Linked DNA regions of Oreochromis niloticus. The main gene of each other region encodes a partner of the protein of the gene in region 2 in a complex. Links are inferred from orthologs where the notes say so. Each region holds a gene or a part of one and is shown on either strand. Other genes may lie near its edges.

Region 1 (7,700 bases), on a different chromosome or scaffold from region 2:
TACAACTGCCATATATCAACTATCAATTTACAATTAAAAATATGATCTCTGATGGATTATGGCATTCAGAAACGTAGCATTTAGACACAAACTACTGAGCTATACATGTCACACCTGGGCATGTACAGGATAAAATACACAAAGTTAACATTATCATATACCCTAGTTAAGGAAACCTTGTATGTTTCAGTGCTTGCAACAAAATCAGGAGTCTGGTAATCATTTTTTTTCCCATCATTATATTTGCTTGTTTCAGTCCACTTGGTTTGAATTAAAGCCATTTCTTTACAGCTCTGAAACCAATGTTTTCTAACTTTGCTTTGTCCATTTTTTTGCAGGACTGTTCTTGTTTTCAAATAACTGGAGATCATACCTTTATCCTGATCATAGCATTAGTGGCAGCTTTATACTTCCCAGGATCCCAAATTCAGTAATAGACTTGTCAAATTCATACACCATCATTTCCTGTCGGTCTTGCAACCTGCAGTATATTAACAGTGGCTGTCTTGATGCTGTTATCAACAGCTATATTTAACTTAATTGCATTTATGAATTTCAATCCTAGCACGCATGGTGGTGGCACTCACACCAAACTCCTGATTTGCATGGGTCATGTTCAAAGACCTACGTTTATGAAACCAGCATATAACATGCTATAAAAACTTTGCTTAAACTGTTTTCCCAGCTGACATCAGCTTGGTCCTTAGTCCATAAAATTAAAGTGTGTCCATAATGCTGTTTAACAAATTAGCTTTTAGATTTTGGTACTCAAAGTGAACTTCTAGTGTTGAGGTTAAATTATAGAAAATTGCTAAAATGAATTTAATTAATTTGCTTTTTCTTTTCCAAACAGTAGCACAAAGACATCATAAATTATTGACACTTGAGAGTGTGAACGATTATGTTGTTCCCATTAATTCTGGAATTAAAAGACCGCAGTCTAGGCTTACAGATGCGTTGCTTCTGCCTGATTCTGTTCAGTCACTACATGGTGCAGAGATCCTGATTTATTGTGTGCTGTTTACACTGTCTGTGCAATATGTGATGACTGAATAAAACTAAACTAAGCTAAGCTAAAATATGCATTAAACCATTTCATTTGCTTCTAAAGGAGTGGCAGAATCATGTAGAGCACTTAGAGCCTTATAGTGGTCCAGCAAGTTGCTAAAAATACAATGCATGATGTCTTTTCTTCCATTTATTACCCTTCATTCTCTACCTTTTATGTGCTTTTCGGGACCACAAAAGTACATTTTTTGACAGGCTTTTATGGAACTCACCCTTTCGTTTGTCAGCTGCTGGGGTTTCTTTTGATTTGTAACCATTTTTGCCATATTCTCCATCTACTGACAGCTGAGCTAAATGAGACTCCTCGTGTCATCATCTAGCTTAATGTTCAAGGTTCAAGCAAGACTCGCCCATTTGTCTGCTTTTAAGGGGAACGCTGTAGCTGTTAAATCTAACCATGTTAGTTTGTTTGAGGCAGAAAGAGGGGGAAATTGGTGCAATCAGTCGACTAATATGTCGCTTAAATCTATCGTTTTAAGGGTTTGATCCGCTGAGCATACTAAAAAGCACTTACAAATCAGGCTTATTATTGTATTATGTTATTACAAATCAGACTAATCTAACCAAATCATGACGTTGATGAAGAGAATGCCTGTGACTTTCCAGAGCCACTGCTCAGACAAATTGTTACCCTGCTCATCTCTTCTGTTAGTAGAGTGTAGAGCAAACAGCCCCTCGCTGCCTTCATCTAGCGAGGCTGCTGTCAAGCTGGTAACAACAGCAGCCAGCTACAGTATATTGCAATATTGTAAGCAAATAATCACCTGTTTGCAGCAGCCACTCAGAGGAGACTTGCAATCCCACAGTCCAGTGAGTGTTTGTCCATGACTACTGAACACATGGTGCACAGACAGACCACTATTTACAAGTCTGGTTTATTTTCTTGAGAAAAAAAAAAGTAGCTTGAGAAAGGTGCAGGTGTCCAAAATGCAGCATATATCTTATATATGATTCCATCCTCTGCTACCTATGAAGAAAAATTCTCCTTCCTGTCAGCGTGATGTGTAATGTTATATTTTATTCAGCCCATGTGAGATCCTCCGAAGCACAGGTGTACTGTAACATGCCAGAGTTCAGTCATAATATTGATGGATCTGGAAAGCTATATGTAATTCATGAGTGTTTGACACCTCTCAGAACCTGACAAAGATCCTTTAGGGATCAAGCTGTGCTGATAAAGGCTATGTTATGTATTACAGCCCCTTCAGTAGGCAGAGATTTCAAAAAGCATCCAAACCTGACGGAAATATGAACACTTCTGTCACTGACAGTATATTATTGGTGATGCATGTCTACACTGACATACTGGTGCAACTGCATGACACATTCAAGTCCATTTTTTCCTGTTATTATTTTCTAAATATATATCAAAATTTCTTAATATAAATTCATCTTAGATGATCTAAAATGATGAGGTATTTTTGATTCTTACCTCAGACTCATCTGTGGTTTCCTCACTTGGATGACTGACCTAAAAGCAGAAAAATGTTGGGTTGCTTTTAAAAATATATTAATGTTAAAGCATGGTTTCAAAGGCCATGGCTATTTATTTAGACATTAAATACATACCAAACAACTGCAAAGCTAAATTAGCACCTAAAATGTTAGCTTTCCAAGCTAGAGAATGGCTTGATGAGAAGCTAAATCAAATGAAACCACAGCTGACAGCTCTCACAGCCACACTTTGAATGCATTTTTGATGCAAGTGCGTTTAAAACAGAAACATTTAGCTAGCTAGCGTTAGCATTTGAGCTTACCTGCTCCTCCACTTCCGCCATTGTGATATTATTTAGCGATATATCCAAAGGTAACAGCTATAATACTTTAACAAATATTTTAAAAAATATCCGTTAAATCTCCGATAAAGGTTTGTTTCATCTCAGAAACACCCGATTTTGCGTGACAGCAAAGTGATATTTGTTGTCGAAACCTGCTTCCAGTCATGAGCTAAATCACATGACTTCAATTCGAGTATCAAGGCGTTATGGGTAATGAAGTCATTCAGATAGAGAAACGACAACGCGGATGCTCAGACAGAATAAAAGGAGACGATTACTTGAAAAACGATGCCAGGTGACAGTTTATAATGTGTTTTTCGTGGTTTTCGTGGCAAATACTTGTAGCAAGTTTTACTCGGTTTTAACAATCCAAGTGTCTCTTTTCTTAAGTGTCAGACGGAAAACTTGTGAAGAAAATGTCTTTTTTTCAGTTGAAGCTAACAGTCTTGAAACTGCAGCCAAATAACCCGCAGTAAAGCTAGGTATAACCATAAAGCACATCTTCACTGACAACATTAATAGACCAACCTTAAAAATTTGAACGGTCGCCAGATACAATAAATTAACCTGGACTAAAAGTCCTCCAAACTGTCCCCAAGGGGATGATAAAAAGGCTGATTTCTGCTGTCATTAAAAGGTATTCAAATAAGTGGCTAAAAGGAGCCAACTAAATCCACCCCCTTGTATACAGCTGAGTATTTTAATTTGTTGTATTTTATATTAATTGTCTGTAACATATCAGTGGCAAATACTGTAGTTTTTCCCTAGAGGAGAAATTTATATCATTTATAGTAAATATTAAAAATAGTTCAAAACGGTTCCAAACAGCATAAACATGCTACTTTTGCTTAAAGTCCATCAATACTATTACTTATAATTAAGTAGTTTTTACAAAAGTAATGGCTCTGAAGTAATCATGAGTATTATTACAAGAATTATTAGGCAACAGTATTTACTGTACACATTGTCCCCTTTTATATTGATTATTTACTGCCACTAGCCAGATATACAGTAGAATGTGAGGTAAAATACACAAAATTTTCTTCAAATAATTGAGCACTAATTGAATCTATAATCTCAAAATGATAACTTACAGGACTTTAAATTCATTCACAATCTCTCTTTGTCTTAATTGAGACAATTTGAATAAAACGGGACAGACAATCCTCTTTCCAGTACATTTGGAGCTATCACTAACTGAAATGATTAAGACTATTCGATTTAAATATGTGCAGATTTTTCTGAACGTGGTGGCTAAATTAACCCTTCAGCTATTGTTTGAGTCCCCTGGTTTCAGAAGAATATTAAATTATATTTTTGATACTTTAAATTTTACTGCCAAGACTGTATTGAAGATTCAAGACACTTTATTATCATTAAGCAAACATAATGAAATCAGGTAATACTTGCTCAGATGGTGAAAAAACCTTAGATAAAATAAATGTACTGACATAATATAAATATAAAATACAATATTTACTGACAAGCATTAAAGAGTAAAAAGTATTGGGACTTAATATTGCACGGTTGGACTGAACATGAGTTATTTATTTACAGGCTGTGCATCTGTCTGTGTAATGTATATGCCTGAGGGTTGTAATTGTGTGAAGCTGAGCAGTAAAAAAAAGTGCACTTTACATGAGTTATTTTACATATTATAAAATGTACACAGTGAGGTATGTCCCGAGTTATGGGATGTGGAATTGGGTAGTGGAATATTGCACATGAGGGTTGTACATAATTACTGTCACATGGTGTTTAGCAGTGTTACAGCTGTAGGAAAGAAGCTAAATATGTATTTGGATGCATCTTTACTCTTGATGGTAAAGAATATGAATACTTTGTCCACTTGGTAATAAGCAGTAATGGCATCCAGATTGTGCATTATTATGATGAGAAATAGCAGCTAAAAGTATTTATTGTGCCCCTTTTTGAGGTAAAATCTGTGGTAGATTAATATAAAATTAAAAGTACAGTACTTTTCTGAGGTTGTCTCCTATGCCTGCCTTAATAAAGGAAATCCCTGTGCATTCACTAATAAAGCAAACACAGTCAGCAAGACTTCCAGTAATAATTAGGCTATTTGTTTTATATATTTGCAGACTTCTCTGAACATGGTGGCTTCGGATATTGGTCGACTCGCCTGGTCCTCCGTCACTCTGCTGACAGCTGCTTGCCTGAGTCCAGATGAATGCCAAAGGTATGATTTGCCTCTTCTTTATTGAGATTGTCTCACACCCCTGTCTTGCCTCATCCATCCTCAGGAGAATCCTAATGCACTGATACCAAGGGGGAATAATTTTTTTTTTCTTTACAATCTGCTTAGCAATGATTTATTGATTGCGGCTTCCACCCTCACAGAGAATTACCGATCCTTTTTGGGAAATCAGATTTTCACACCTTTCATGAGTGTGTATGTGGCGCAGGTCTCCAGAGACAGTGTGAGGGGAAACTGACTTTGAGGAGCAGCAGTGTGTGAATCTCTGCGGTGTCGCTCCTCTGCTGCTGCCAGTGGTACGCCCAACGGATGGCCCTGTGATTCTCTGCTTCTCTCTCCATCTCTCTCTCTATAGTTTTGCATTATTTATCGCTCGATAAATACAGTATCCAAGCTTGATTTGTTTTCATTCCCTTTCAAACCTCCAAAACATATGCTTTGCCCGCTCTCCCATCATAAACATGCAAGAGCCCCGTCTAAAGTTTAAGCACCTCATGGACAAAAAAGGAAAATAATAAAAACAACCCTCGCCCTCATAGGAGGAGTCAGATTAGTGCACCGAAAGCTTTGATGCTCCAGAATGTCAGCTCGGTGGATCGATCCAGCAGAAAACACACACACACACACACACACCTGACCAATCAGAGGCGTCTATCTGTTGTGGACCTGCTGGGCACCGTGGTTTACAAGCTTCAAAGAGCTCCTTTTAATACACTGCTTTGATAGCCCTCAGCCTTCACTGACCCGCCGACCGTCCGCTGGGGAGCGTTTTAGCTTTAGTGGAGGAGAGAGGGATAACTGTTGATCATATTAACGAGCGTGAAAAGAAAAATCATCTCAAGTCTCGGATATTTACACCCCTGACCCCACGAGTCCCAATAACAGTCTGTTAGATCAGCTGCAGATAAAATAATACAAATTGGCTGCATTTTTCCAAGAGTAATTTAACACTATTAACAGCACTTGTTGAGATTTAGATGCACAAAGGCATGAAGTGGAAGCATAGACAGAAGAACAGTTTGGTTAATAACCCTAAGGGGGAGACAAATCATCACCTAACAAACCACATTACACATCTCCGTATGCTCGGTCATCACAGCGCATCCACATATTCATAAAATATATAATGATTGCTTCAAAAAGTGTTGATACATTATTTCTATGTAGACATATGTTTCATTTAAGGTGGAAAATAAAATGATTTACAAAATGTTAAAGAAACCTTATTTTAATCTTAAAGCAAATGAATAATTGCTGATATCAGGTGTTATTAATCTCAGCGTATGTGTCTGTTTGCATTACACAGGTCATTTCAGGTCCCAAAAAAATCAGATAATTAAAGTATTTACGTGCCTTTTAGGTCAGTCATAGCAGCAAATGAAGCTGTTGTGTGTGATTTCTCAGAGAACGGAGAACATTTGTCACCTCGGAAAGTCATGTTAACTGACAGAGCGAGCTGATGGTTTGACGTTACATTAATGTTTAAGGACAAAGAAAGCATGAAAGAGAATTTTGTCTTTCGGGTAGATTATAAACCTCATTCTGTCGTGCGTTTTTCAGAGCAGGCTGGTGTGCTGCAGCCTGTCCCAGGTTGAAATCACCCTACATATGTCTCCAGTATGTTGGAGATCATTTGAAGCTATTGAACTGTGCTTTAATTCCACACCTAATACTTACTCTAAACATGTTTTAACCTCTTGAATATTCTTCGTAATGCTGCTCAATAAACTGTTTTATAATTTGTTAAGTAGTGTGTGCCCATTGTTCAAACATAATATTTAGATTTTATACTTTTCTGGTTCGACTAATCCCAAATAACTAGGAGAAATTAAAAATGCATCCCAAACAAGAGCTTGGGTCTCAGGAGGTTAAATATTTATATATGTACAAAATTAACCATAGTTGTTAAAGATTCAGCAGACTGTGTGGTTCTTTTGCACTTTTCTTCCACAATGCAACTTTAAAAAAAACAAAGGAGCTTCAGAAGATTACAGAATATTTCATTATTTAATTTCAGTCTCACTTCATAAGGCTGGTTTTGTGAGAGAAAAGTTTGTTTTGGGACATATGGCTGCCACTAATGATCATTTTCATTATCAGTTTATCTCTAATATCTCTAAATTATTTCCTTTAATATTAAAATAATCATTAATTGCAAGGAAATACTGAGTGGTCCCACAGTGGGGTATATTACACGTTCACCTAATAAGTGAAAGAGACCCAGTTTGATCCCAGGAGGAGACACAAACCTCTTTGGGGTTGTGACAGGAAGAGCATCCGGCGTAAAAAGGAGCTACCTGCTGTGGTGACCTCTAGCTTTTTGAATACATGCACATGTTGAACATTTGAAATGTCTCACAATCTGTGTATAGCAAACAAAAGGATAAAATTCTTACATTTAAAAAGTCTGATCAGCAAATTTTTGCTGAACTAATCAAACTAGAACAGCTGCTTTTCAAATGGACTTTCTACCTTTGTTTATGTCGTTACATAGTAACTATGTAACATCTTTTTGTTCAGTTTTAATTTTACACTATTTCTGTTTCTGAAACATCTTCATTTGTTGCTTTTTCCCCCTGTTGATAAGAAAGTAATGCGGTTTTGGAGTCACATATAATTTGGTATACTTTAAAACT
Region 2 (6,837 bases):
GATATTTCTTTTCTTTTGACAAGGAGTTTTTCCACACTTAAAAAGACACATTATGGCTGGAAATATCATTTTAAGTTATAAACGCATAAGCGCATAAGTTGAAAAGTAAAGAAGCTGCTTGCACCCCTTTTCTGTAACACATACCCGAATGAGGTAATAGTCTCTCTTGAAACCAACACATATCGAGTTTTCACACCAAGCCATTGACTTTGGAATATCTGGTGCAGCAAAGTCCCCCTGACAGACGAAACGAAAACATTAAAGTGGCTAAATGTGTCAAAGCACTGGAAAATACTGTTAAACTTGAATCACACTATAGTGAGTCACATGTCCAGTATACATTACCTGCAGCTCATGAAACTCTCTGTCCTTCCAGTAATACAGCTGGAGTTTCTTTTTCACTGCAACACACATTCTCAGCTGTTCCTCCCCTGAGCTGGTTTGCTGAGGACAAAATATACACTTCGTGAGAGGAAATGTGAGGCTAAATGTGTGTCCAGCACAGATGAACAAACAAGACAAAATATTGCAGCTACTGTATAAAAAAAACTAAGAAAATGTTCAGGGTTTTTACATATTTAGCACAATTAAATACAAATTGTGTTCATGTCACTTCTCCATATGTATGATACTTTACTGTTTTCAAGACACCCACTGTTGTCTTAAATCAGATGACACACGCAGACTTGAACTAAGAAATCACATTGCTTTTTTTCTGTTGTTAAGTGTTGAAAGAGAAATTGAAATTTAAAATGTCATGTTAGTAAGCAGCACCATGGTAAACCTCAGATTTACTTCCCGTATTGATGCCATCAGATGAAAGGCAATGAAATCCAGAGGATTATAATTACCTTGGTCCTCGATTTGCTTCTGTAAAGTTTGTGAGTTGTGTGAAAAAACATTCAAAAGGCTACTAAAAACAGTGAGAAGTAGGATGAATGGTCGAGGCATGTTTAGTTTGATTTTGTTTTGCTTGTAAGCCATTATACTCTAATTTCCCCAGCCACAAATAACTCCAGACTTAGAATTTAGTTCACTTTTGTCTTAAACGGTTCACAAACTTGCAGCTGTATGTCTATCAGTATACACAACTATTCAGGTGAAAACTGTTTTCACTTTCATTTGTAATGGGAAGCAATGTGTGCATGAATATGACTGCAGTAACAATACCACTACTAGAAGGAGAACTGGATACCGGACTAAAAGAAACCACCAGCTCACATCAACAAAAAACGTGTTTGACTGCAAGACCAAAAAAGGTTAAAGACTAGCTTCCAAGTCTTTATTCTGCTTTAGCCCCCTACATTTCCCTAGGAGGTTGCTGCTCTGTTGTCCACATAGTTAAGACATCATGGGAAAAACCTCAAATGTTTTTTTTTTTTTTTTTTTTTAAAGAGAAGAACCTAATCCTGTTTGAAGCTGGAAGTCCTGTCTGCCTCTGTTCTAGAATTATAGTCCAGTTTTTTTTTTAAATGCAATACCACAAGTCACCACTGGGGAAAATTGACAGCTTATAGGTCTTATCTTCCCTCTCTTACCACATGCTGAGTTGCAGAAAACAGGGGTCTATTACTGACCTGCAAGTCACATGCAAAGAGTGTGGCTCCTTTGGCTTTGGATACCACAGTGATCTGCTGGAAGGTCAGGAGGTCATGGACATGGATGTTGTTCTCTGTGGGGATATTTAAATCGGTTTGTTTAGTTGTCATGATAATCAAGAACTGATATTAGTTTGAAGCCTTTACAAGCCCAAGGTTCCCCCAATTTTTGCTTTACATGACATTTTAACTCTGTAAAAATATATTGCTGAGAGAAACTTACCCAGGAGACTGACAAGAATTTTGTACTGTGAGACAACATAAAGCTGGAGAAAAAAAACACAGTTAAAGAGATAAACACACATAAGCTGGTCAACAAACAGAGGCAAACAATTTTAATTAAGATCTAAATTTGCGGTTAAGCGACTAAAAAAGTCAGATACCTGCTGAATCTTCTTTGAGAAGTTCTTGTTGGATTTTTCCAGTGTGACCTCAAACCGGTTGCCTCCTAAGATAAAAAAAGAAATGTGTTCATCAGAATTACTTAAACTGGTATTTGAAGCGTGCAACAGAAAGGTAAACCGGTCTCCAAATGGATAAGGAACCACATCCCCTTTGGTCCCCATACCTGCATCCTTCTTTATTCGGTACAGAAGGAGATGGCCTGGTTTTGTTCCTACAAGCAGCCAGTCCTCTGTAAGGAAGTCGGTACAAAAGATGCGGTCAGTTAATTTCAGACATAACATTTTCACATAAGTCTGAGATGTTACCTGCGTTCAGTGGTGAAAAAACTCATGACTTCTTGACAACTTAAGACTGCAGTTCGATAAACAGGGGTACTATTTCAGTGTCACAAAATTAAAGAGTAACCGTGGGACCAAAGTGTTAACAACTCACCCCAGGCCGCAAGGCAGTCAATTTGAAGAGGAAGCTTTTCCAGAATAGGTACAGGCTCATATGCGTCGTGCATCTTGAAGCAATGCTGCTAATTCAATCTCACACACCCCTCTGATATATCAATCCCACACGGGGCTGACGCCTAATCGCTGATAAATCTGTCAGGGGGTACAGCTTTACATGTCGCCATAAACTAACACAGTTCAGTTTTGCTTTTTCGGAATAGCCAATACGGAGAACTGATTTGGTAATGCAATGCAGTTTGGCTTGTTAGCCACCTTCCTCCCTGACCAAAACAACAGCTGATCGTTAGCCTTTAAGCTAAGAAGTGAGCAACTATCGGTTCCCTCTCACTGCAACTGAAATCTGAGCGAAGACTGTAAGTTAACGACCAGCGCAACTGCAATTAACCTAAAACGTTTAACCACAAACGCTATATAAACCACAGCAATTAGTTTTCGTTAGCCATGTAGCTTCCTGCTACTTCCTTAGTTGTTTTGAACACGGCTGCGCGAGCTGCTGGGGTTTGACAGGCACGTGACTGAAGTATGTGAGCTCACGAGGAACGCATTAAAGGCGCAGTGGCTTGTATTAAACGGTGAGTTGAACGGTTATTTTGCACCGAGGTTTCGTACCAAAAGAAAATCAGTATTTATGACACAAATACTTAAATATTTTATAAATTTAGATTTCCAGGATTTAAAGGACACTCCCACTTGTTTTTTAAATAAAATATTCTAGAAAAGAACGCGTTTAAATATTGTAATTGTGATATATATTTAAACATGTCTTTTAGAAAAACAAAATAATTCTAAGTTTATACAAAACTTACGTTTTAACCATCTTTCAATAGAAATTTATTTGCAGGACATACGCAAAAAGCCATACAATATTATCAGCTTCACAATACAATGCAGACTCAAATCCAGACACAGGGTTTTAGTGTCTCTCTGAAATAAAATATTGTCAACAAGATTTAGACAAATAGAAAAAAAACAAAAACAAAAAACAAACATAGTTCAGAGCTTTAAAATTATCCACATATACTGCAGTAGATCAAACAAGTATGAGGAATTATTTCAGATAAGGCTATTTTTGAGCGTAGCTGGGAAAGGGTCAGAGAAATCTGTAATAATGGTGAACTGATACTCCCCTGTGCTACTAAAGTCAACAGAGAACCTAAATAAAACTCCGGACCTGTTGGTGGAGGGCGTCGGAGAGCACATTTTATAGACACACTAAATTACATGTATATTTTTCAGCTATTCAGGTTCGTTATTCAGTGGCTAGAAAAAAGTGTTCACTTTGGTGACTGCAATATCTAGTGTTTCTAGATCTATTATATGAAATCAAAACTATAAAAAAACGTTACTTTTCATAAAAATTAAAATAAAGCAGGCTTAATTTTACTACTAATGCTTACAAACAGGATTTTCTTTTACTTTTTCTACGCTTATCAACCAATTAAATATAGTCAAATTTGAACTCGCTTAAACTGATCAGTGTGTGGATGACATCCTGAAGAAATGATCTGCATGTGTCTACAAAATGAACACGCCTCACACGGTTTTATGACAGTTAATTCTTTGCATTGATATAGCTCCATAACTATCATTAAATGTTCCCAGATCAGCAGATGTGGCTTATTTTCTGGACGACGGTGATATCCTTCAAGTATCAACATGACAGATGTTAACAGTGGCTTAACTATTTTGATATTCAAAATGACCCAGTTAGCCAGACACTACAGTAATAATGTGTTAACAATTAAACACACATATTTGTTGGTTAAGCATTAAAACATTTGCTTTTAGCTGTCTGGCTAAATGGCTAATTGTACAATAGAGTTACTTGCACATTTAAATATTAAATCGTGTGATCAAATAAATATGTAATGTAACAAAGTATCTTTTTAATATATATGGCACAGCACTGAAGATAAGCTATTGTTCATTAAGATGCTACAATGTCTTAAATATAATCCTATTATGAAACTACTTTGATCTTTTCAGTTATTCATTATCTTCCGTTTGTAGCATCATCCGATATCTTGGCTGTGATGATGGCCAGGCATCACGAGTCATACCTGACTGTGTTCCAAAAAGGACCTCACATTCCTACAACTCTGACCCGTCAGGAGTTATCTGTGCAGTCTGAAGTGGGTGGAGCTTTTGTCAAATATTTTGATCATCTATCCCTTGCACTGGATATCACATGTTTCATTAAATAATTATAATAGTCCTAAAAAAAAAAAAAAAAAAAACAGAAACAGAACATTTCTGCTTCTCCTTCATTTTGTTCAACAAATAAAATAGTTATAAATATAAATGCTATACTATATAACTGCTTCTTGTATTTTATCCCAGAATAATCCCAGAATGCCATCAGCAGCCGACCCAGTCACTTCAGGTTGCACAGTATGGCGTTAATATAAGAGTTTATTATAGTGTTACCCAAAAACCTGTGAAATAAAAGTTTTGTTAAAAAGTGTCTGAAGAAAGAACAGATATCCATCCCCCCAACATTTTTGGTAATCAGATCACTCATTGCTGCCTCAGTTGAATTCCTCTATTTTCATTCTCAGATCGTCTTCTACTCCATTTTGGACCTCTCCATCTTGGTTTTCAGGATTTCCTGGGAAAAAAAGCAAAAAACAGCAGTGTGGTTGTTAAATGATGACACAGTGAAAGGTCAGGACTTTAAATAGATTAAAGTGTGAGTAGAATCATGGGACTCGCATGTGTAAAGTAAAAAGGCTCCTTACTTCTTCCTCATCTAGCATTACAGGGAGAGCTCTGTATGGAGGGGGGAAAGAAAAAAAACAGAGAAAGAGGTCACGGATATACCACGCACATCAGGAGTAAGTCAAACACTATGAATATGGCTTGAATAACAACAATATAGTACTTTTCTATCCTGGGCTGCCCGTAAAAAACTTCCTCTTTAAAGTCATCGCCATATTTCCATCCAAATTTCATTTAGTGTAGCAGTTTTTCACCAAAATAAAGGTTTACTTACACATCAGCAACAGTAGTAGGAATGTTCTCCTCAACCCATTTTAGATCTTCATCCTGACAAAAAGCAGTTTTGAAACACAGAATTAAGTAAACATGGCAATAATGCAGAAGAGAAAATGTCAGAAGTCAGCCTACCTCTTTACTCAACATTTTCTGGGAGCCGTTAATGTCAGGTTTCGCGCCTCTCATCTTCATTCCCTCTGAAAAATCAAGAAAAGGCAGCTGAAATCATTTACTCTGACACTATTAAATGATTATAAATTTATCAATTAACGCCTATACAAACAGACTGAGAATGTGTCACTGGGTTAAACAAAAGCTCAGACAGAAGGTTGTCAGTAAAGGATGTGAGGAAAATTGTGATTATTTGGGATTATTAGAGCATACAACAGAAGATACAAACCACTTGAAAACATTTCTGTGACCTCTGTCGTTTTATATCTTTGTGTTATACTAGCTCACTGTCCTGAATTCTACACTTAAACACTGTTACTATAAGAGAAAAACCATCCTGTTAGTGGAACCTAAACAAAACTGATCAAAATTTAAAGAATCAGCTGGCATGTGATATGGCACAAGATGACAAGCCGGCAGGAGACTAGAACTACATGTTATGGCAACTAATACTGTTTTACACAACCAAGCTTATCAAAAGCTGTTTTACCTTTTCTCCCAACACACAGCACTAGAGTTAAATAAAATCAAAATTTTTCTAAGCAACTTAACTATGTAACACAAATGAGCAATCAGTGTCTTTTTCAAACACTGTTTAATATGGCAAATACTTGTCTGGGGCTTTAAATGACAAGAGGAGTGAAATGTCGTACCAAAAGCTTCGTTCAGCATGGGCTCCTTTGCTTCGTCCTCTTCATCATCATCATCAATCAGAGGGGAATGGGAGAACCTGAAAGGAAACACCACATAGGTTGAAATCTTTATGAATCGTGTTAACCACGAGCTTACACAAAGGTACTTTGGCCCAAACTCCATACTGACGCTGACCTCTGATTGTTGGCTGAGGGCCGCAGCAGCACCATGATGACCAGAAGAATAGTGGAGAAGAGCAGGCGCCAGAACGCATCATCTACCCACAAGTCCCTCCAACCCTGCAGAAAGGACAAGGACAGATTTCAGAGGAAAAGCAGTGAAATCCAGTACAAGATAAATATAACTCAGCCAAAAGAGAAAACAAACTGACCCTCTGACAGTCGACCAACTTGAAGACCTTGGTGGTCCAGATGATAAATATGATAGAAGCTGTGGACACAAAATAAACACCAAGGATTTTGATGACTGCAAACAAAATACACGTGTTTCGCAGAAACTACAGCACACAAACAACAAACTGACCTGAAGGTAATTCTAGCCACAGCATTGGTAAACTG

What was found. The genes of interacting proteins can lie anywhere in the genome.
Region 1: vps39 (region 2) and vps41 share a complex: the UniProt entries of both Homo sapiens proteins name them as parts of the homotypic fusion and vacuole protein sorting (HOPS) complex. The link is inferred for Oreochromis niloticus from reciprocal best matches to the Homo sapiens genes VPS39 and VPS41.

The regions. Positions count from the first base shown.
Region 1 is NC_031974.2:15,254,964-15,262,663, reverse strand, and holds the start of vps41 (vacuolar protein sorting-associated protein 41 homolog), read right to left. Parts: upstream 3,018-7,700; 5' UTR 2,847-3,017; coding exon 2,826-2,846; intron 2,540-2,825; coding exon 2,501-2,539; intron 1-2,500. Other genes in the region: pou6f2 (POU domain, class 6, transcription factor 2), read left to right, coding at 3,094-3,141, 4,949-5,046. UniProt on the Homo sapiens protein: Plays a role in vesicle-mediated protein trafficking to lysosomal compartments including the endocytic membrane transport and autophagic pathways. Acts as a component of the HOPS endosomal tethering complex.
Region 2 is NC_031983.2:21,376,309-21,383,145, reverse strand, and holds the start of vps39 (vam6/Vps39-like protein), read right to left. Parts: upstream 3,002-6,837; 5' UTR 2,509-3,001; coding exon 2,436-2,508; intron 2,233-2,435; coding exon 2,167-2,232; intron 2,047-2,166; coding exon 1,982-2,046; intron 1,865-1,981; coding exon 1,822-1,864; intron 1,673-1,821; coding exon 1,578-1,672; intron 445-1,577; coding exon 346-444; intron 238-345; coding exon 145-237; intron 1-144. Other genes in the region: transmembrane protein 87A, read right to left, coding at 5,028-5,069, 5,200-5,230, 5,454-5,506, 5,588-5,652, 6,280-6,356, 6,455-6,558, 6,651-6,709. UniProt on the Homo sapiens protein: Regulator of TGF-beta/activin signaling, inhibiting SMAD3- and activating SMAD2-dependent transcription.